Linked DNA regions of Mytilus edulis. The protein of the gene in region 1 purifies or fractionates together with the protein of each later gene. This does not show direct contact. Links are inferred from orthologs where the notes say so. Each region holds a gene or a part of one and is shown on either strand. Other genes may lie near its edges. The genes, in order: DNA polymerase epsilon subunit 3-like, bromodomain adjacent to zinc finger domain protein 1A-like and SWI/SNF-related matrix-associated actin-dependent regulator of chromatin subfamily A member 5-like.

Region 1 (8,057 bases):
AACATTTCAAATTAAAAGTTTTACTTAGGTTCTTGTGAGAAACTTCCAACTAAATATTTAATATCTAGCACTAAAAAAAATTTTTTTTTATTTTGAAAAATGTAAAGAAATTATAATATATCAATTACAATTTAATTCAAAACTATCTTAAGTATGAAATTCAGTGTCTCTCATCAAAAAATATATAATTTAAGCTGGGCCATAATATATTGATATTAGCTAGCAGGGCCGTAACTAGCCTCTTCAAATAGTGAGGCAAAATATATCGCCGAGCGGAGCGAGGCAAAAAAATTTGGCGAGGGGACTGGGACCGCTCAAGGCCCCCCAGAAGCTCTGAGAAAAATAACGCAAAATCGTGCATTCTGAGCGTTTCCCAGACTCTTTCTGACATTGAAACGCAATTAATTTTTAGCTTTCTTTCGATAATATTCTGGTCTGAAAGCAAAAACATAGATTCATTTTAATTTTAGTCTTTAAGGTTTTATGGACAACGCAAAATTCGTAATTCTCCTAATCATTAATACCGGATCTGTCTGTCTGTTTTAGTCTTGTATTGTGCTTAGACTTTGGTGACATTTTTATGACTAGATTGGAATATAGTGACAGTGCAGTATTATGCTTTAAATACTAGAACTGCTTAAGTCGACACTAGGGACCATCTTGACCCTGTTTTACGGTATTAATGATTCTTTTATTGTTGAAGACCCTCCAGCAACTTTGACCAAATGATTGATCATTAGTATTTTTTTTATGCAATGACTTTGTGTGCGATTAGGTTTCGTGCACATTTACTCCATATTCCTTTATTTTCTGTAAAAGGGTCTGAACATGACGATAATGCAAGTTTAACACATCAATGGAAATGGTCATATGGCAATACATTATTGCTTTTTTTTCAAATTATTTGATACCGTAAAATTGGTGACCTTACTCTAATTTAAACCATGCCAGCTATCTAGTTTTATTAACCAAAAGAAGCCAGTTGTGAATTCTCTGATATCAAATTCAATTCTCAATGCAGAAACGACCATTTTTTTTTTTTTTTTATGTCTAGTATATTTTTAAAATATTTTCTCGCACAATATCTGGACATCAGTGGGCATGCAACATTGCATAACTACACGTTTACAAATGAAAATCAACACTCAGACTATTGTCATAAAGTAGGACAATAAATGAGCAAAAGACAAACCCGGGACACAGAAGTTCAAACAACAGACCATCAATTCTGAAAACTAAAAGTAAAAAAGAAACATGGATCACGAAAAACATGCAGGGGCGACACCAGAGAGTGAAGAGAACTTGCTTCTTGTTAGACACTTTCCGTGAAAACAATTTGAAATTAAGACAATCTTTTGTTTCATTTTTTTTTTTTTTTTTTTTAATTTCTAAGATGAGGCATTTGCCTCATTTGCCTCAATGTAGTTACGGCCCTGGCTAGTGTAATAGTCTCCGAGTTAAGCAACTTTAATAAAGTTTGAAACAAATTCAATACATAAAAAATATAGGGAATTATATACACCAATCAATTAGATGTAACTAAAAGTCTCTTAATGCATGTGAAATACGTAATTTTTTCCTTTGTGGTCAATATTCGTCTGTCAGCTGTTCCATCCGTGCGTCCGTAATAATTATTGTAAAAGTACGGATTTCGGTTTAGCTGGTCCGGTTCAGATCCGTACTTTAGGAATCGGTAAATGGCGGACGAATGCAAGAAAATTTACAAAAATAAACGATGTTTGACAAGTTATTTGGAAAGGAACATGACGTTTTTAATGCAATAAATGGATTAAACATTTACTAGAGGCAACTTTTATCACGTTTAAATGAAGTAACAAACTTATTTTACCGCCGAAATTTAGGTTGATGTACGTTTTCGAGTAACAAGCACCGGAACTTGCAAAAATGGTCGAGGTGATAAAAAGTTGTATTTTTTATCAAATAAACTGCTACACACTGCAAATACAATGCTTCAGCCTCTTTTCTTAAGATAATGAACCGTTTATGTCTTAATTTCTTTAATTATCAATAAAAAAATGATGTTTCATCAACTTGGTAAAAATTGAAAATGTCCGATGACGGAAGCGACTGAAAGCGAGTATCGTCAAGAAGAGGGCGACTTGTTTTCGCTTTTGGGTGTCGGGGAAAGCTTACCAGTCACGTTCCGGTGCACTGGTTAACGATTTTTTAATGCAGTAATAGGAACCAGAATACGAAACGTAAACACAAAAATTCCGTTTAAAATTTTCTTAGTAAATCGAGAAATATGAGGTCGGCGGAAATAATTTTTAAGGACAAATGTGCGTTTATTTTTATTTGAATTAGCGAAAATTCGGGTCGGCGGATCCGTAAACCAACTTATTTAATAAAAACGGCCCAATGGAAAAGTAATTGTTGTATGCGTCAAAAGTTCAAGCGGGCGGGTCAGCCGGGATTAGCGATAAGGTGTATTGTTCTTACCCCAAAGTGAAAATAACGTTACGTCATTGGTTGAATTTCGATTGTTTAGGACGTTTTAAACCAATCAAAACGCTTTGGTGTACGCTTTTGAAAATATTACCCAGGATGCATTAGATTCTGAAACGGCGAATAGCTCCATCATAAAATAAGGTTAAGGAGGCATATATAACAACATTAGAATATTGTGACCGAATTGACTATTATTGTAGAAACGACTACGGCTGAACTAGATTTTTATCACAGCCACTTGTTTCTCTCCATGGGAAGACCCACTATTAACGTTTATTTACGAGTAAACAAGTGCCTGTGATTTTTATTTTAAAATTTATTAATTTTAAATTTAATTTTTAGTTGTGTTAAAAAATAACACTAACAGCCCCGGACGTCAGTACAATCTTACATTTGTCAAAATGTAATAGATGAAGAAAACAGGATAGTTGATGTGAAAGTCTCTTGTCGAGTTAATGTTGCAGGACGTTTACTTATGTTGGTATCCTTCTTTGTTTTCCAAGCTTCCCGCCATTTTAATTACTACTGGCCATGGTGCTGTTAAAAACCGAAAAGACGATCAATCAAATAAAGATAAATATCTGTCAATATTTATATAAATGATTAATGCAAGTCCATCCAGTTATTATATCTTTCCTTCTTAATTTCGAATTTAAATGATTTCAAATATCATTAGTAAATATATTGGTATTTCATTTCTTGCTATATTTTCGGTCCTTTAGATATATTTTCATATATGCAGAAAATTTAATGTTCCATTTTTCCTTTAAAATGATCAATGTATAGAAGTGATCGTTAAAACTAATGTTTCATATTTTCATTAATAAGCACTTTATGCACATAATGTGTCATTTGTTTTTAATTTATTCTATGCAGACCATTCCCATAACCGGAAGTTGGAAAAGTTGTCAAGAGGCTCGGTCGGTACATAATTACGACTGTCCTAATTTTGGTAAACAGCGAACACTTCATTGGGCTTAAGGTACACCCATAGCACGTAAAGTGAAAGTAATTAACTAATTGCATTTTCTAGTTCAACTTATAACATTTCCTTGTCAAAATTTCAGCTCCAATAAGTTTACAAAAACAGTGCCATGGTCCATTTTGTCTTGTTTTTCTTATTACATGTGCTGTATGCTACCGGTGATTTCTTCATTATATTTCTTTTGACTATAATGATTATTCAGGGATACAAGACACAAAATAGAAAAACAAAATTTGTAAGAACATGAAGAATGGTACCAGTTGTATGATTGTTAATGGACAAATATGGCCGTATTTTCACCTCAAAAACTACTCTGAGTACCGACCCAGTAAACACACGACGTACTCCCGACGTCGGTTAATGGTCGTCTGAACGTCATGTCGTGAGTTTACGTCGTACCAACGTTGTGGGAACGTAAAAATCCAACGTTGGATGCAGACGTACAGACGACGTTATGAAATTACGTCGGATTCACGTAAATTTAGTACCTTGTCAGGACGTAACATTTTATTACGTTGTGACAACGTGCTTATAACTGTCATAATCCGATTATAAGAACGTAGTGAATACATTGTAAAAATCTGGTTTTATGGGACGAATTTTTGGGGTATGTCATAATGAGTATTCCTGGATATATCAATCATTCACCTTCACTAGAATATATTTACGATTTTATCGATTTAAAAAAAAAATCCCCCTTTTTTCCCGCAGACATAATTTGCATCAAGATGTCAAAGAAAATATTACAAATCCAATTTTAATGTTCTAATATATGTATTTTATATGAATATTTATTGTTTATTATATCATTAAAATTTTGTCATCATTTATCACTTGGATTTCATAATCGTTTTTCACGATTTGATTAGTGTAACGTTCAGCAGTACTCGGGTTTTACCGCTGCATCCTATGAAAAGTCTGAGCATGCGCACTGTTGCCGCTTGATTTTTGAAAACAGTGAGGCAGTGGAAATATAGCTTGATCCAGATTCCAGAACAAAGAAAAAGGTAAAATAATGATTGCACATTACACCAAATAGGTTCTCCATGATAAAAACAAGTTTGATTGATGAAAATAAAACAGCTGTTACCGTGTTGGGCGCCTCTTTCAAGTCGGTTATACGTGATCGTGTTGAAATATGATACTTTTTCTTATACTGTCAATATATTGCACTGATACAAGATATTTTAGCCATGATGTGTGTTATTTAAATTTCGTGATTAACTTGTGTTGTTTCAGGAGATCCAAAAATAAGTAAAAACTGTAGAAAGTAAAAAAAAGGGGGAGGGGTGCACAGCCACAAGTACTTGTTTTCTATCTGTGACAAGAGCTACTATCCCTATATATTAAGGCTACAAGTGTCTGCTCTGTTATTTTTTGATAATCATTGAAGCATAAAAGTCTTATCCATGTTATCAATATCAGAAAATGTGAAGCTAAACATCTCAGCACTTTAGATATTTGGGTCCATTACAAACTCCGCACATTTCAAACTTGGCATATTACCAACCTGGCCTATTAATGATAATGCTGCATATATCACTGGGGGTCGTCGCTAACATGCATGAAATATTTGCCACTGGATGTTGAGCAACAAACGATCAATCATTGTATCACTGGGTCTGACATGGAAATAGACAATTGTGCCAATAAAGATGTTGTAAAATATAGGCGCCACAGAAAAAAATTAAGATAGCCATCACGGTTGTCGCAATAGGATTAGGTCGTTGTAGGAAGGCGTCCCAGAAAAAAATAAAAAAACAGCCTTCCAAGTCTTGAAAGTGTCATAATGATTTAGACTAGGATCTAGCCTTGAAAGTTGGGTAAAATTTTCTTGTTTTCAGGGTAAAACCCAGTTTACAGGTGTTAAAACAGTACATAGGGACATCTTTTTTGCTGTACAATTTAACAATATATTAGAAATTATTATAAATTAAGGAATGAATCTCCCTCATGCAAAGCTCTGATTCCTTTCACCACAGGAGGTTGAAATCCTATCAATGAGGGTCTATAAATATGTCAACTCGACTATCACAGTAGAGCTTCTCTCGTAGAGAGAATACTTTTTGGACCTTTTGGATTATAGCTCTTCATCTTTTATATAAACTTTGGATTTCAAATATTTTGGCCACGAGCATCACTGAAGAGACATGTATTGTCGAAATGCGCATCTGGTGCAAGAAAATTAGTACCGTCAATTTTATTATAATATGAAATCTACATGTTTATCAATGACGAGCTACATGTACAATCACTAAATATGTGATCAGAAACCATGTTGTAATCAATCATAAAACATATGAATTTTGGAATGCATTTAAATTTGTCACTTTGTTCTCCTAAAGATTTGTTGGACTAACATTTTTTTTTATATAAATAAGGCGGTGAATTTTCTCGTTTGAATTGTTTCACATTGTCATTTCGGGCCTTTCATAGCTGGCTATGCGGTATGGGCTTTGCTCATTGTTGAAGGCAGTACGGTTACCTATAAATGTTAATTTCTGTGTCATTTTGGTCTCTTGTAAAGAGTTATCTCATTGGCAATCATACCACATCTTCTTTTTTATATGAAACAGACAGAAGAATATAAAAGATAATTGAACGTATTTTTATTTATTTTTCCAGAGTCTTGTATATAAATCCACAGATCCAATGTGTCTGAGGTTGAGGAAATCATTGCAGTAACCATGTAACAGTTAAGCATGCACCAGCTCAAGAATTTGGACCAAGATTTTAAAAAGGTAAACATCAGTTGATCAGCTCTTTTTCTGTCCTCCTTAACTGAGTGATATAGTTTAACTCTTGTACTGTACGTACATACATGTACATTGAACTCAAAATTGGATTTTGTTATCTAACGTTTGCCTAAACCACATGTTATGCAACCAATACACAACGCTTATTATCATAAAATGCAGAGTTTGAATTTGGAGAGCATCTGCTTTACTGTTCTCTAGATATGTCCTTTAAATTAAGTTTGATAAGATCATTTGTGGCTCATGGACACATTCTTCTTATATTAATTTCATTTATCAAATTATATTTTGTTGATTTTATAGATTGCGTTCATTGGCATATGATATGAGGTCTTGTTGTATCGATGTACATGCTAAATTTATTAAGGTAGAATCCTTTGCATATCTTAAATTAATTGAAAAATGACAATATTGTGAAACCAAACTTCCTTTATTAATTATTTGTAGAATAACCACTGGTTGCTCCAGAAAATATTATGTCCCCTCTCCCCCAGGGAAAGCTCTTTTCTTAAATTTTATTTGGGGGTGGTTGTGTATGAAATACCAAAATGCAAAGGAAGTGTTGTTCTTATTAATTTTTAATTCTGTCGGTGCTGGAATTTTTTTTTTTAAAAAGGGCTTAGGGCTGTCCCTTAGGGGCGGACATAGTATTTTCTGGAACAGACATAATTTCATTAACACATGTTCAATTTAACAACAAATTTATTTTTTAAATAAGAACGAAGGTTAATCATAAGTTATGAATAATTATATACTGTTGAAATTGTGTTAAATTTCTAACATACATGTACATCATCAAAATGTGTATAATTGGCAAAGATACAAACATCTCAGTAACAATATAAAATAATTATGAATCTGCAGTTTATTATAAGACCAGCAATAGAAAAAATATTGATTATGTGTAAACACAGGATAATTTTTAAGAACTGCTGTAATTCATAAGTTGGGATCAATTTATTTTTTTGTATTTTATAATTTATGATTTTTTTTTCAGAGATCTGAAACCAACACAAGACCAGCTGGGTCAATATTCCTAATGCACCTCCAAATGAGGAACTAATGCGCCATCAAATGAGGAACACAAAAGTTGTGTGTAAACAAAAATTGTCTCTGTAGTGATATTGAACATGTTTCATTTTTAACAAGTGACTGAGCTTTACCATTTGTGTTGATCTGGAAAGTAGAGGATCATAGTATAAATATGTAAAAACTATGAAGTTTTTTAATGTATTCAAAGTTTTAAATTTTCAAAGAAATTGTTGTGTGAAAAAAAATCGCACTTCGTATTCCGAAAATTTAACCACATATATGTGAAAATGTCTTAGCTTCGAAACAAGCCATCCTACATATCCAGTGTACTATATTGACTGAGCTAGAGTAGAAAACATTACCAATACCAACTACGTGTATGCAGAAACAATTGTGCAAATTGCCCAGCTGATTAGAGGGCAGAAAACCAACATTTGGAATGACATGTACAATGTATACAACCAACACAAGACTAAAATTTGGAATAAAAATTAAAAATTCAGAAACAAACTATTATTTTTTTTATTGGTTCATGTAGCTACATGTACATTGTAAGAAAAAAGAAGTCTAAACTGTTGGATAGGTTTTGGTCTCTTGTGGACAGTTGTCTCATTGGCAATCATACCACATCTTCTTTTTTATACTCTCTCTAGTTGGTCAAAGGAAAAAAGCAATAGTTAGTTGAATTGAATTTCAGGTATTTTCTTCATTTGGGATATTTTTAGAAGTGTGTATGAATTGTGTAGAATATATATATTTATAAATTAGACAGTCAGATTTTGGGCCGATTTTCCTAGCTTGTAATAGTGTAGTGA
Region 2 (7,236 bases), on another chromosome or scaffold:
CTCATTTTTGTTGAGCCTGAGATAAACAGCAAAAGTAGGCAACACACTGAGTTCCACGGAACGCTTACAAACTTTTAAAGTTTCTTAGTTCATAAATTGTACTGGCGAAAAAAAAATCTTCATCAGATCTTAGGCCAAATCAAATTATATGTGTGGTTCCAGTTACATACTGTTAAAAAATAGGCTCGGTAGGTCTGCAATTTTTTTTATTTTTTGTAATATTTTTTTTTTGAATGTCAAAATCCGGAAAATTTGTGTGTTTACCGAAATTGTTTCTGGTATTATACACACCCCAACCGGAAGTCCACCATTTTTACATGTTTGGTTGTAAAATAAACAGTCATGATACGTTTTTAGTTAATTTTGTTGCATTCTGTTATGAATTCTTGCATTTTAGCCATAACAGATACTTGTGATGGAAATTCAGATGACAGCAGTGATCGGGAAGGACGTGCGCCCTGCGCCTATTGACAAGAAATGGCACATACAGTGACAAATGTAAGCGCCAACGTGGCGCACGATATTTTTCACTACGTTTTGAAACGCTTCGATATCATCAATTGGATTTCCGATCGTGTTCCGTGCCGCCATGCGTGTGTACATAACAGTGTAATGTTCCTCCAATAATAGGAGCACCTATATATTTTTGGGACGTCTCGGGTGTTTCCCTATGATAATAAAACCAGGCAGTTTCATGTATCGGGTATTTTCCTATTGTAAAAATAAGACCATGTGATCTAACTGATAACCCGAAAAAACGTAATTAACCATTATTCATGATATATTTTTTTTATAAACAACTTTAAATTTGTGAAATTTGGCTAGTACAGACGAGATTTAACTCTAAAAATAATCTCATTAAGTTTAGCTTGCTATTATTTCGATTGAAGAACCCCAAAGACTTTTTAGGAATATAGTGTTTGTCTCCATAAAAGACGTTTAACTGTCCTTGTCATTTTATGGTCTTTGGTACGTTTTGACATTTTGTAATCATGACTTCAGCGATTTGTTGTTTTGTGCTATAAATTAATGGTACTCTATACTGTTATTCTTGTCACCGTGATGAAGTTATAATAATACAAGAAATGCAGAGGAAATGCCTGAAATGTCCTCTGAAATAAGTATGGTATCGACGAAGACCCAAATTTAATGTACAAAAAAACAACCATGGACATGAACAAGGCAACAGTACCAGTTTAAACATTGTAAATAAAGGTTAACTTAAATATTGTTCGGGTTTGAAGAAGTTATTGTATATTCATTGAAATTGAAATTACAAAATCACAGGAACAATATCCATGATTTTATTTAAAATCATAAAGGTAAGTAAATGTACCAACATGTACACCTCTTTGCCAAAATATACTGATACTTTTTTTTGTTTACAGAAGTCAATTTAAATGGCCCACTCATTTGACAACAAGGCCCATTATTTTTAAAAATGGCCCATTGAATTTATTTTTGAGGGGCCTTGGGCCTATAGGGAAAAAAACCTTCCAGATCACTGTGACAGAAATCTATGAATTTAATCATTTTAATTCACAATCCTCAAAATTTGATCATTTGAAAATATATTTTTCAGAAATGAAAAAAAAAAGTTCTAGTGTCGAGGGGTTTTAACTAGGGTCGGTCGGGTTACTGGAACCACACATATATTTTTATTTGGCCTTATAAAACTGTTGACAAAAAAGAGTCCAACAAGATTTTTCTTTGAAAATCCATTTTATATAAAAAGTATCTTGTATCTCAGCTTGTAGACAGGCTAATTTTGCAACCAAACAAATTCAAAATGCTTATCTAAAGCATCCAGAGGCTTACCGTAAGCAACCAGATGAATTATTAATCAAACGCACCTTTACATCTTAGCCTTGATGTAAATACCATTTACAAAGTACTATGCAAATACATACTTAGAGCTATTACTAAACCCCTATTCCTGATAGTGATAGAGAGGGGGGCTTCAAAAGTTGTATTCTATTGTTGTATGCAGATATGCTTAGAAAGATTACGAAATGACAGTATCATTTCTAAGAAAAAACTTATGATTCTGTTCTTAAATATAAAACAGCACTTGTCCACCAATAGATGATATCTTTCTGTGGATACAGCGGAGCTGACTACCTTGAAAAGCAGTAATACTAAACGACTTCAACATGGATTGAGTACTTGCATGGGAATACATTTTGTATTCTCAGAATCCTTCACACATGCTTAAGTATATTAAAAGATAGAATTCCAGGTTGATGTAGGTTTGTATATAACAAATATGCATATTTATCAGAATAGATTAACCAAATTAATTGACCCATATACACATTCAGTAGTTCATTCTTGTAGAAGCTAGAGGAAAACACATTTCATAATGATATAAATTACCAAACAAACAAACAAAATATTTTTGAGGAACATATTTCTGTTATTTAGTGTAAATTTATATATAGGAAGGATACAAAATGGCCGACAGAAAACTAAATCACATTTTCATACATTAGATTAATAATGTTCACCGAACATCAGGGCTAAGAAAATAAACTTACTCATAATCTTTGAAGATTTCATTTGTCAGCTTACAATGAAATACATCGTCATCAGGCTGAAGGGAACTTGGTACTGGTTGTCTGTGAAATGGCTGTTTTCGTAATAGCGGCATCTTGAACTGTTGAAATTTTTTGGAGGGAATCACAAAGAAATTTTTGTTGAAACTGTTAAATAAGACACAAAATAGCTTTCTGCATGCTGTGACAGAATCTTCATTCGATGTGTCATAAAATGTCAGCTAAAATTAACACATGTAAACTTTGAAAACTAATTATTATGCTTAAGACTGCTAGGTCTTCGATCTCCGTCTGACAACGAGGTCATTTGATTGTAGCGTGAAACAGCACAATGTGAACTTCGCGCCGACCGAGAGAGGGGGGAGAAAACGATCGTTTTTCTACCACTTTATCTCTTCTTTGATCCGAAAATCTGTTTGACGATGAAAGTTAAGTAATTTATTTAACTAATGGTTGCGATAATATGTCTTTAAACATAACATAAAACAAAAAAACAAGGGTAAAACCGTAGTGTCTTCGAAAATTTCGAAGGAAAAAAGTACAATTTGGGCGGAGTCTATAAATGAAACAAACTATCTGATTGGTCACGAAATGAACGATTGACAAGGTATGTAAATTTCCCATTTGCACACTAAATCGACCTCTAAGACAAGAAATTGTTCAAGGGAAGTAACAACAGATCAATGCATATAAAACTAGAGGCTCCAAGAATCCTGTGTCGCTCACCTGATATTTTCATATGGGAGTCTAAAATATAAATGATAGAATTTGTTTATTTTTTTTACCAAAACGTAATATATATTGATATATGTTTAAAAAAAAAAAGATAGGCCACCGTGCATTTCTCAAGCTTCAGGTTGTGACAAAATGGCATATTTTGTATGGATTATAAAGGAAAATAAGTTGAAACTAAACTAAATGATAGAATTGTAATATAAATTTCGAAAAGATACTTTAATACAAGTCTTTGAGAATATCAAAAGAAAAGGTATAGGGTCACCGTACGTTTTTTTCGGCTAAAATACTACATATGAAAATTCCATGTATATATAGATTCCTTCAGAAAATGCATTGTTTCAGAGCTACATATCCCCTTAAATGCTAATTTAAAAATAAATTAAAAATCAACCAAAATAACATACACTTGTAAAAATATTAATTTTCATAAAATATATTCTTATTGATTTGTTCTTTTGAATGAAAATTCACATTAGTTATCGGCATTCCTGCATCAAATTTTTCTATTTTGATTGAAAATCTGGACCTTAGAATCTGTTTTTTTCACAAAACCAAGATGTAGAAAGACACCCATAACACCTTTATAACAGAAGCAAATTGGTAATTGGCAAATGGACTATTGATGCATGAAATAATGCAACCGATATACTTTTGCTTTACTAGTTTTAGAGATATCGAAGTCAAAAACTTTATTCTCCTTATGTTATATTTTTAGCCATGTCTACCATGTTGTTTGGCAAGCAGGTTTTATTGGTCACATTCTTTAAGATAGATACCCTAATGCTTATTGTGGCCAAGTTTGGGATAAAAAATTGTCTCAGTTGTTTCAGGAGAAGAAAAATTGTTAAATTTGACCTTAAAGGACAGAACTCCTTATGGGACCAATTGACCATTTTGGTCATGCTGACTTATTTGTAGATCTTACTTTGCTGAACATTATTGAATGAATTGCTGTTTACAGCTTATCTCTATCTATAATAATATTCAAGATAATTACCAGATACTTCAATTTTTCACACAGTCCTTAAAATTACCAAGGGTATCAATCCAACAACAGCTAGTCTGATTCGTCTGAAATTTTACGACAGATAGGTTCTAACCTGATACACAATTTTATACCATGTCAGATTTGCTCTAAATGCTTTGGATTCAGAGATATAGACCAAAATCTACCGTTACCCATACGTTCTATTCTTAGCCACGGCGACCATCTTCATATATACCATGCATGTATACTCCAATGCAGATTGTGACCAAGTTTGGTTAAATTTGGCCCCAGTAGTTTCAAAGGAGAATATTTTTGTAAAAATTTATGGACGACGGACGACAGACGCCAAGTGATGATAAGAGCTCACTTGGACCATTGGGCCATGGCCAGGTGAGCTCAAAAGGGGGAGAGGAATATTTTGAGAAAATTCTTCGAGGTAAAATACAGTTTATGAATTATATTACCCTTTAAATAAACTCATTATAGATACCAGGATTGAAATTTTGTATTTGCCTCAGACGGACGTTTCGTCTACAAAAGACTCTTCAGTGACGTTCGAATCAAACAAATTAAAAAGCCCAAAATAAAGTACGAAGAAACAATTATGTCAGATATCCAAGTAAGATCGATTTTTCCTGAAGCATCATTTATGTTATATATCGGTTCTAGTGAGATCGATTTCCCCTGAAAGACCAGTTATGTCAGATGTCCTATAAATTTGATCGATTTCCCCAAAGCCCCAATATGTCAGAATTCCCAATGAGAACTATTTTTTCCCCGCAGAACCATTTATATGGCAGATATCCTATTAAGATCGATTTCTCTGAAGCACCAGTTATGTCATACATTTCATTGAGATATATTTCCCTGAAGCACTATTTATGTCACATATCCTATTGAGATCGATTTCCCTGATGCACCACCTATGTCTTATATCCTAGTGAGATCTATTTCCCTAGAGCACCAGATATGTCAAATTGATATCGATTTCACTGAAGCACCATTTACGTCAGGTATCCTGAGATCGATTTCCCTGATACACCACCTGTGTCATACATTTTATTGAGATACATTTCCCTGAAGCACTATTTATGTCACATATCCTGAGATCGATTTCCCTGATGCACCACCTATGTCATACATTTTATTGAGATACATTTCCGTGAAGCACTATTTATGTCACATATCCTATTGAGATCGATTTCCCTGATGCACCACCTATGTCAGATATCCTAGTGAGACTATTTCCCTAAAGCACCAGTTATGTCAAACATAAAATTGATATGGATTTCACTGAAGCACCATGCATGTATGTCAGATATCCTATTGAGATCGATTTCTCTGAAACACCAATCATGTCAGGGGCGGATGCAGGAATTTTCGAAAGGGGGGTGCTAACCCAGGGCAAAGGGGGGTGCAAAACATATGTCCCGATACAAATGCATTGATCGGCAAAAATAAAGGGGGGTGCGCACCCCCGGAACCCCCCCCCCCCCCCTTGGATCCGCCACTGCATGTCAGAATCCTAATGATAACTATTTCCACGAAGAACCAGTTATGTCAGATATCCTATTGAGATCGATTTCTCTGAAGCACCATTTAGAATCATTTTCATAACAGCATGGACAACCGCAATACTATGTAGGTAGTTATACTGAATCATTAACCCAGTTTAACTTGTTTATCATAGGCTAACGATAACAGTGATTTTACGACCACTGCCAGAGGACTTCCAATGACGATTTAAATAGAATAAAAGAGTAAGGTACATGCAGGTGCACGAGAAGAAAAAAAAAGTTTAAGTACCCAACATTTAAATCAACACACAAGGTCTTGTTCTATGCTAGTTTTTCGTTTGATTTGATTTAGGCGTTTAGAATTATTGGCGACCCCTTCCCCCCAGTTTAAATGGCTGACAAGTAGGTGTTACAGACGAACGTCTACCTAATCTGACCCAATAAATTTAAAACCTGAGCGCGCAAAGAAAATACTGAAATTGTCTTATGAATTTTACGCTGTTATCAAAATGATTCTTTATCAGATATCTTTGTGGCATCGATTTCCCTGAAGAATCAGTTATGCCATACATCCTACTGAGATATATTTTCCTGGGAAAAAAACCCATTTATGTCAGATACTCGATCATGATCGATTGCCCTGAAACATCATTTATGTCAGATATCCCAGGGAGATTGATTTCTCTAAAGCACCAGTTATGTCAAACATAAAATTGATATGGATTTCACTGAATCACCATCTACGTCAGATATCCCTTTGAGATCGATTTCTCTAAAATATCAATTATATCAGATGTCATTGTGAGATGTGTCCTTTTCAAAGCATCGTTTATGCCATACATCCCAGTGAGATCGACTTCTCTGAAACAAAGATTATATCAGATATCCTTGTGGGATCATTTATGTCATATTTCCTAATGAGATCGATTTTCCTGAATCACCAATCATGTCAGATATCCTAGTGAGATCAATTGCAACTACCTTGATGCACCATTTATGTCTTATATCCTAGTGAGATATATTTCCCCGAATCACCAGTTATGTCAAATATAGTATTGAGATCGATTTACCTGCCAATCATGTCAGATATCCTATTGAGCTCGATTTCTCTGAAACACAAATTATATCAGATATCCTTGTGAGATCATTTCCTTCAAGCATCATTTATGTAAGATTTCCTTTTGAGATTGATTTTACTGAAGCACCAATCATGACAGATATCAAAGTGAGATCGATTACCTTGATGCACCATTTATGTTAGATATCCCAGTGAGATATATTTCCCTGAATCACCAGTAACGTCAAATATAGTATTGCGATCCATTCCCCTTATGCACCAATCATGTCAGATATCCTATTGAACTCGATTTCTCTGAAACATAGATTATGTCAGTTATCAGTTATGTCAGATATCGAACTATTCGTGAGAAGAAAGAAA
Region 3 (7,819 bases), on another chromosome or scaffold:
TAAAAATCATTAAAAGTGTAATGAAATAATAATAAATAAGATTTAAAATGACTTAACCAAGTGAACATGCATTGATGTTTTGGTATCTTTGATATACATTATAAGAAAATGTACCATAAATACTGAAATTCAGCTAGAAAAAGTTTGTACGCGTTATGACCTGAGATTTGATTCTTCAAAGCAGGTCATGACCTGCATTTTCATCGTCACAGGTTGACAGGTATGCCTTTAGTTGTTAATTTCTGTGTGATTTTGGTCTCTTATGGACAGTTGTGTCATTGGCAATCATACCACATCTTCTTTTTTATATAATAATGTTTGCTCCTCTAGATCTGCATCAGGAGCATAACATTTTAGGCAATACTTACAATTTTAGCTTCAAATTGTGCATTTTCCTGAGGATTCCTCACTTTAGGTGGAGACTTAAGTAGAACTGTTGGTTCAATGGTTGGCTGAAATAGAAAATTAAATAGATTGTGTTTAATTGTACAGGCTTCAAAACATCTGACCACACAAAATACAGAAACACAATTGTACTGAGAGTGGAATTAAACACCAATCAATCACTTTTTATGATATTGATAGTAAAGGCATATGTAATTTTAAAAGTAGGGTCAGTAGGTAAGGATTTCTATTCTTATTAGCAAGGTATACATTGTACGTTATTATCTTAGTCATTAATTCTTATTGATACTTGCTTCACTTTTATCATTTTTATCCCAAAAAGTTATTATTCATCATGTTGATCATATAGATTTTAATAAAACTCCTATTGCAGGTGTTTGTCAGAATCCCCTATTTTCCAGTCAAAAAAGCACATGACTGTCAACAATCAACATATGACATGTTATAGCCAAGCTTTTATGTAGAAAGTATGGGATTTAATCATGTTTATTAGCCAATCAAAATTTGATTAATCATTGTCTCTTGTGATTATTAGGCATTGCAACCATGCATAATTTAAACTTGTAATATTCGAGTCATATTCCTTTGCCTGCAAGTAAGAATTGTAAAAATACATATCTATTTTCATTTGCAAGATGTAACACTTTTTTTTTAATCATTACATGTATTTAATTACTTTGTTTTATATTTCAAACTTAACTTATTGTTTTGAAGATGATAGAAATTAATCATCCATTTGAATATTGATTCTTCAATGTTCTTATTTGTTTTATTTGTTCAGTTTGTTTATACAAGATATTAAACATCCATTTGATGTACATATATATATTATGTAATTGATTTAATAAAATGTATTTAAAAAAAAAAGTACATGGACGATGCATTTTCACAAGTATGCCATTACATCTTTTCAAGGTACACGTTTCATCCCATGGAAGTTGCGTCCTGCATTCTATATTTAAATTTACTCAGGCCAAAAAAAATAAATTATTATATGTTTCTTGTTTATGGTTACCAGACCGACCCTATTTTGAGCGCCCACCCTAAGCCATTTTATTTCAGTTGTGAAGTGAAAAATAAACTGAACTCGTGTTAAAAGTGAAGATAGTGTTGCCTGATGCATCCCAATGTTCATAATCATGAATATGATAGCTGTTTTAAGGAAATTTGCGACTCGTGTGATTAATAAACATTTTGCCGTCATTTTTTCCCAATCAATAACAAAGGGAAATAATCCAATCATTAAAAATACGGGTAACTTCGGCCCATGGCAAGGCAGACTGCAGGAAAAAAAATAAAATGGACATACCGACCTACCTACCCTATTTATTTTGATGATGTAACCTTAAACAGATATATTTTTTTTGGCATCACAGGGGTACAATGCTTTTCTGAGTTCTCAGAAATGCAATATGGTACTGAGAACAAGGTTATACACATCAGTTTGTGATAAATCCTGGTACTATACGAATCCGGGTCCGTTCGCGCCCATTCACGTTCGCACCCACTCATGTTCGCCCCCTTTCATTTTCGCACCCTACATGTTCGCGCCCAGTTTTAATTGGTTTTGTGTTTAATAACTTTGTAATCAAGTTTTGGCAAGTAGTATTCTTATAAGTATAATTGTTTTCATGGTCTCAAAATAAAGTGAGACAGCATTTTTTTTTGTGTTGAATAAATCTTAATCATGTTTTGGATAGTGTATTGTTAAAAAAAAATATATTCCTTTCTAAATAAAGTGGGATTCTGTCAACGTTTTATTTTGTGTTGAATAACTGTTTATCATGTTTTGGTTAGTGTATTGCTATAACTTTTGTTTCATTGACTTGTTTCAAAATGAAGTGAGATTCTGACTACGTTTCCTTTTTTTTTTGTGTGTTGATTAAATTTTATCATGTATAGTAATATATAATAGTGTATTGTTTCATTATTTCAGATCAAAGGGACCAAGCTGTTAAAAACAATTATCTTTTGTGTTTTTCATTTAAAATCTTCAATCTTTTACTCATACCAAGCTATAAATACATTCAGTATTTACACGAAAGCAATTAAAAACAACAATCATGATTTTCCAATTATTCAACTCGAATTTGAATTAAAATTGGGCGCGAACGTGTAGAGTGCGAACGGACCTTGGGTGCGAACGTGCGAGGTGCGAACGTGTAGGGTGCGAAAGTATATTGGGCGCGAACGGACCTGATACCGTACTATACACTCAGTAGTTTGAGATTTGTAAAGTTTTGTAAACACAGACAGTGACACAGCCATTTTTTGTACATTTGTTTTCATGAACCCTAAACCACAAAGTATGTCATGATGTACGAGTAAAACAGTTAGGGCTTAAGAAAATTAATTGTTTGGTAATATTTCAATAACAGTTTTACGACAATTTCCCGCAAAAATGCAAATTTTTATATATCAGTTTGTTGTTAAACGTTTTCCACAATTTCTATAAGGCTAATTACAGCTAGTTCCATTGGTTCATCGTTGGTACTTTCAGCCTCTGAGTCAGACATGGTTTGTTTGGTCTATACTCAGACTAATTGCTAAAATATATGCTGTTTTCTTTGTCGTTTCGAATCACCGGCAAAATTTGCGCTTTGCCGGAAGTTAAATTCACGCTTGCGCAATTGTTATGGAAAATGCTAAAATATATCCCTTTACTCTGACCTTAGAATTAGACCCAGAATTGAACATTTGTTTTTTGGTTTATTTTTTGCTTCGCATACCTTAAAATTTAGTTATTCACAACTTTAATAGACTCGGTTGGATAAATAACTTTACAATTTAGACAGACATTAGTCTAATTTATGTATGTACGTAGATCCCTCCTTTATTTGGAGTACCCATCGAGGAATACGTGACCTGGTCAATACACCTTATCGCTATTTGTCCGCCATAACTAGATATCACACAGGTTCCCGTAAATTTTTGACGTCACAAAACAAAATACCTGACGCCACAATGGAAAAGTGATTGTTGTATGCGTCAAAAGTTCAATCGGCCGGGTCAGCCGGGATTAGCGATAAGGTGTATTCGGTACCTATATTCTATATTGCTAATGCACCTTGTCAAATAGGCACCTATTTAAAGTTATTTCGCCATTTAATAATAAAACTGCCATCTAATATTATTTTTTCCGTTTTGTTTTCTTTATATCCGAGAATAGTTTTCTGACGTTTTTTTGTATATTTTTTTGCCAAAATTACAATTTCAGAGAATTATTTTGTGTGACTTTGTTAGTTAAAACTCAGCACATGTACACTGTGTCTAAACTATCCCGGTAAAAAGTGTGAACTCAATGATATCTGATGTTCGGAACTGTGATGGAACATCAACAGGCAGACGGAAAAAGTAGGTATTTGTGCACTATTTGTTTATGATATCCAAGAGTATAAATACATACAATTTTCGATTTTGAGGTGCTATATTTTCTGTAATCTTTATAGATTAATGTAGAAATTGCAAATTAAGATGATACATTTATAGTGAACCTTGCCTTTAATTTCCTGTTAATTTATGAGGGGGGATAGGAGGGGTCCTGATCCCGAAATCCCGAGCTTAAAAACATGAAATCCCAAAATTCCGAATTTAAATAAAGTTAATCCCGACGTCCCGAAATCCGAAAAAAAGAATTCCCGGATCCCGAATGGGTCAATCCCGAAATCCCGAGCTTAAAAACACCCGATCCCGGAGTCCCGATAAAGGTCCTATCCCCCCTCATTTATACTCATTGTAAAGAAAGGTACGGGACGGAAGATATTTACATGGAGATTGCAAGACTATAGCCACTTTGAAAACCTCACTACTTGTATTTCTGTGCATGGACATAAATGACAAATAGAAAGACCCGGAGTTATCAGAGTTGTTTACTACACAACGACCCGGTTTTGTATTTGTATAAGACCCGGTGTTTTTTTTTTTTGGAAACCACAAATGAATTATGAAAAGCAACGATTTCTTTATCTATTGCGGTTTTAAAAAAAACCAGACAAAACTCCCTAATCCCCCGATGTTGCATGTCGGCCAAAATAAACATACTTGTAAGCGGGATAACCGAAACATGATTTAAAAACTTGATTTATATCCCAATGATGATTGTCAAATCAAATAAAAGGAAATGTATTTAAAGTCGTTAAAAAGCATACAAAACAGGAAAGAATAAGCTCTTTCGACCTTTTAAACCGACAAAAGTTTGTGGACAAGTTTTGTTAAATGTAGCCAAGTAATTTCAGAGGAGAAGATTATTGTAAAAATTAATGGAAGACGACGAACGATGTAATGAGAAAAGCTCACCTTTCATTTTGGGTTAGGTTGGCTAAAACCAACAAAGAATTCCAAACAAAATTTCATTGTTCTTAAATTTCATAATTTTGTCTAACAATTCACAATTAAGTTTCACAAACGAGCGGGAAACAAATCAAACATGCGGAAAAAATGTCACCCTTCGTTTTTCAACATAAATAGACACTACGTGTTATTCATACAATAATGCACGCACTAAAATGTAAATTATCGCGCCTGCTTATGATCGTAATTGATTTTATTTTCAAGATAAAAGTTTGACTTAAACAAAAGTGTCACATTATAAGTTAAATATGGTTCGCTACTGACCACCTACGGATCCATAGAGGGTTAGTAAAATTAAAATCCATAGGGGGTTAGGAGGCCGAGTCCCCCATGGACTTTATACACACTCTATGGATCCGTAGGAGGTCAGTAGTTAACCGTATAACGAATTTATCGCACGCTAGACTTTTACTGCTGCGTTTTGTTGAAAAATAAACTATGAAACACAACAACATTAATAGATGACGTCACAATTAACGCGTCACGAACCCCTTACGGTCTCATAGGGGGCCACCACGTTACGGCGTTAAACAAATCACAACGTGATAATTTACCTGCGGTGCTATAAAAACTTAACTTTGTTAAATAATAAACCATAAATAAAAGTTAAGGTCAGATGAAATCTGCCTGACGGACTTTGACACATTTCAATCATTAATACAAAAAAAACCACCCTCAACCTTCACCAATTAACCAAGAAAATAAAGTTATAAAAAAAGTCATGTGCACAAATGCAATTCGAGCAAATAAAGTTGACCGGTATTGCTTATGGTATTAGAGATAAGCAGGCGCGGATCCAGAGGGGGGGGTTCCGGGGGTTGGAACCCCCCCCCCCTTTGTCCTGGGTTAGGAACCCCCCTTTTTAAAATGGCTGGATCCGCCCCTGATAAGGACTAGAACTCGAAATGTTCACATTGATCATAGTTAACAACCATTAACAGTGTGAAATTCAATTGATAAAATTTACAGCTATTCAATTTTTGTTAGCAAATCGCGGAACTACTAAAATGTGGACAAGGGCAATGGAAATATGACATATATATATATAAATACAATACTTCTGAAATATGAAGCTTCGCTGATGTGCCTTTTTTATTATTATTTTTTTTATATATATATAATGTTACCTGCAAAAGTATGAATGTTGTTTACATACTAGAATGTTCGGTTTGTGGCCTCCAATATGTTGGTGAGTCAAAGCAGCCTTTCCACAAACGCCTCAATGGCCATAGGAGTGATATCTCTAAGAAGCCACTTCTCCCAGTTTCTCAGCACTTCAGACAGTCGGGTCACAAACCTGATGACTTTAACCGCATGAAAATTCTAGTGATTGAACAGAATATTCACTGGAGTGATGCCCAGCGACAGGTTAGGGAAAGCTTTTGGATAAAGGAACTTTATGTACATCATCCAAACGGCATCAATAAGAAATACTAGCGTTTTTGTTTTTTCACTCATTTTTATTGTTAATATACACAGTCACGTATATTGATTTATAGTGTTTTGTTTATATTATGATATTCAGGCTTTTGGATTAAAAATCAATCGACCAAAACTTACCTGTATTATTACTGATCTATTTTTACACCTTATACATCATGTATCAGTATTGTTAAAACTTGTGACACTTGAAGAAGGCCATTTGTTGAGCCGAAATATTTGTCAGCACGATTTAATAACAACATTTTCGTATTATAACATCTTATATCAGTACCGTTGTGCAAATCTTTAGACTGATATATATATATATATATATATATATATATATATATATATATATAAAAGTCTATAAAAAGGACCAACCAGCAAATTTACTATGTACCGGATCGTCTAGAATAGGCGATACTATGCAGATAAGGAAAAAATTAAATCAGTCTAAAGATTTGCACAACGGTACTGATATAAGGTGTTATTAAACGAAAATGTTGTTATAAAATATATATATATATATCTTATTTACGCTGAAATTAAGAGTACTACGACCAAATATTAGTAGACTGGAGCCAAGATATTGTTACAAGGTATCTACATAAACTCATCATAGATGGATACTAGGATATAAATTTTGTCGGTTTTTGCGCCAGACGCGCGTTTCGTCTACAAAAGACTTATCAGTGACGCTCGATTCAAATCTAGTTAAAAAGGCAAATAAAGTCAAATAAAATTAAAAAGGCCAAACAAATTAACCGTTTATATCAAACTTATAGCTCTGGTTTTGTAAAAGTTGAAACCATTCATATCATATATAAACCTATACACTAAACATTATTTTCAGCATTCATATGTATGTAATAGTTGCCACTGTACTACATTAAGCGCCCATCTATCTATTTGTAGGTGTCGGCATTTTGAAAATTGAAATTTTTTTTCAAATTGAAGTTTATATCAGCGATATATATGTAACACTCAGAAACATGTCCTTCCCCCCAAACGTGTCCGATTCCCCAAAACGTGTCCACATCGACGTCACTGAACTGCAAAACATGTCTAGTTGTAACAGCGCCAAAGCGTGTCATTTGTATAAACGCCTTTAGAAACGTGTCCATTAAAAAAAAACCCACTCAAACGTGTCCAATCCCCAAAATGTGTCCATTATTTTTACTGGAATTATCATTCGTGTCAATAACATAAATACGTGAAGATATTAAATCAGACACCTCGTGTAGGGAGAATGTGCTATTCTCTTCGCGTTTCTTACTGAATTTATAAAAACTAGGTTTTTACTAACTCTCAATTATTTTTAGATTAAAATCCCAACGTGTTAATCCCGAATAACCGTTAGAAATTAGGTCCAATCTTAAATTCCCGGTATGATAAAAGAACCTATCTACAGTATGAATAAGAAGATGTGGTATGATTGCAAATGACACAGGAATTAATAGCTACTAGTATAAGTCACCTTACGACATTCAACAATGAGCAAAGCCCTTACCGCATAGTCAGCTATAAAAGGGCCGAATTTAGTGGTGATCGAAACCTGATGATTTATATAAAAAAAAAACTTATAACCAGTTTATGATTTTAAGAGCTTTTAAAATATCAGAAAAAATGGCGTGTAATAATG

What was found.
Region 2: the proteins of DNA polymerase epsilon subunit 3-like (region 1) and bromodomain adjacent to zinc finger domain protein 1A-like purify together in Drosophila melanogaster (affinity purification with western blotting; 3 studies listed by BioGRID, with this or other methods). This does not show direct contact. The link is inferred for Mytilus edulis from reciprocal best matches to the Drosophila melanogaster genes Chrac-14 and Acf.
Region 3: the proteins of DNA polymerase epsilon subunit 3-like (region 1) and SWI/SNF-related matrix-associated actin-dependent regulator of chromatin subfamily A member 5-like fractionate together in Drosophila melanogaster (co-fractionation; 4 studies listed by BioGRID, with this or other methods). This does not show direct contact. The link is inferred for Mytilus edulis from reciprocal best matches to the Drosophila melanogaster genes Chrac-14 and Iswi.

What each region holds. Positions count from the first base shown.
Region 1 is NC_092345.1:43,553,228-43,561,284, forward strand, and holds the start of DNA polymerase epsilon subunit 3-like, read right to left. Parts: upstream 3,020-8,057; 5' UTR 2,861-3,019; exon of another isoform or gene 2,835-2,860; intron 1-2,834. UniProt on the Drosophila melanogaster protein: Accessory component of the DNA polymerase epsilon complex. Participates in DNA repair and in chromosomal DNA replication. Histone-like protein which promotes nucleosome sliding of ATP-dependent nucleosome remodeling complexes.
Region 2 is NC_092346.1:30,367,339-30,374,574, reverse strand, and holds the start of bromodomain adjacent to zinc finger domain protein 1A-like, read right to left. Parts: upstream 3,134-7,236; 5' UTR 2,651-3,133; coding exon 2,538-2,650; intron 1-2,537.
Region 3 is NC_092351.1:84,269,638-84,277,456, reverse strand, and holds the start of SWI/SNF-related matrix-associated actin-dependent regulator of chromatin subfamily A member 5-like, read right to left. Parts: upstream 3,043-7,819; 5' UTR 2,922-3,042; coding exon 2,871-2,921; intron 453-2,870; coding exon 369-452; intron 1-368.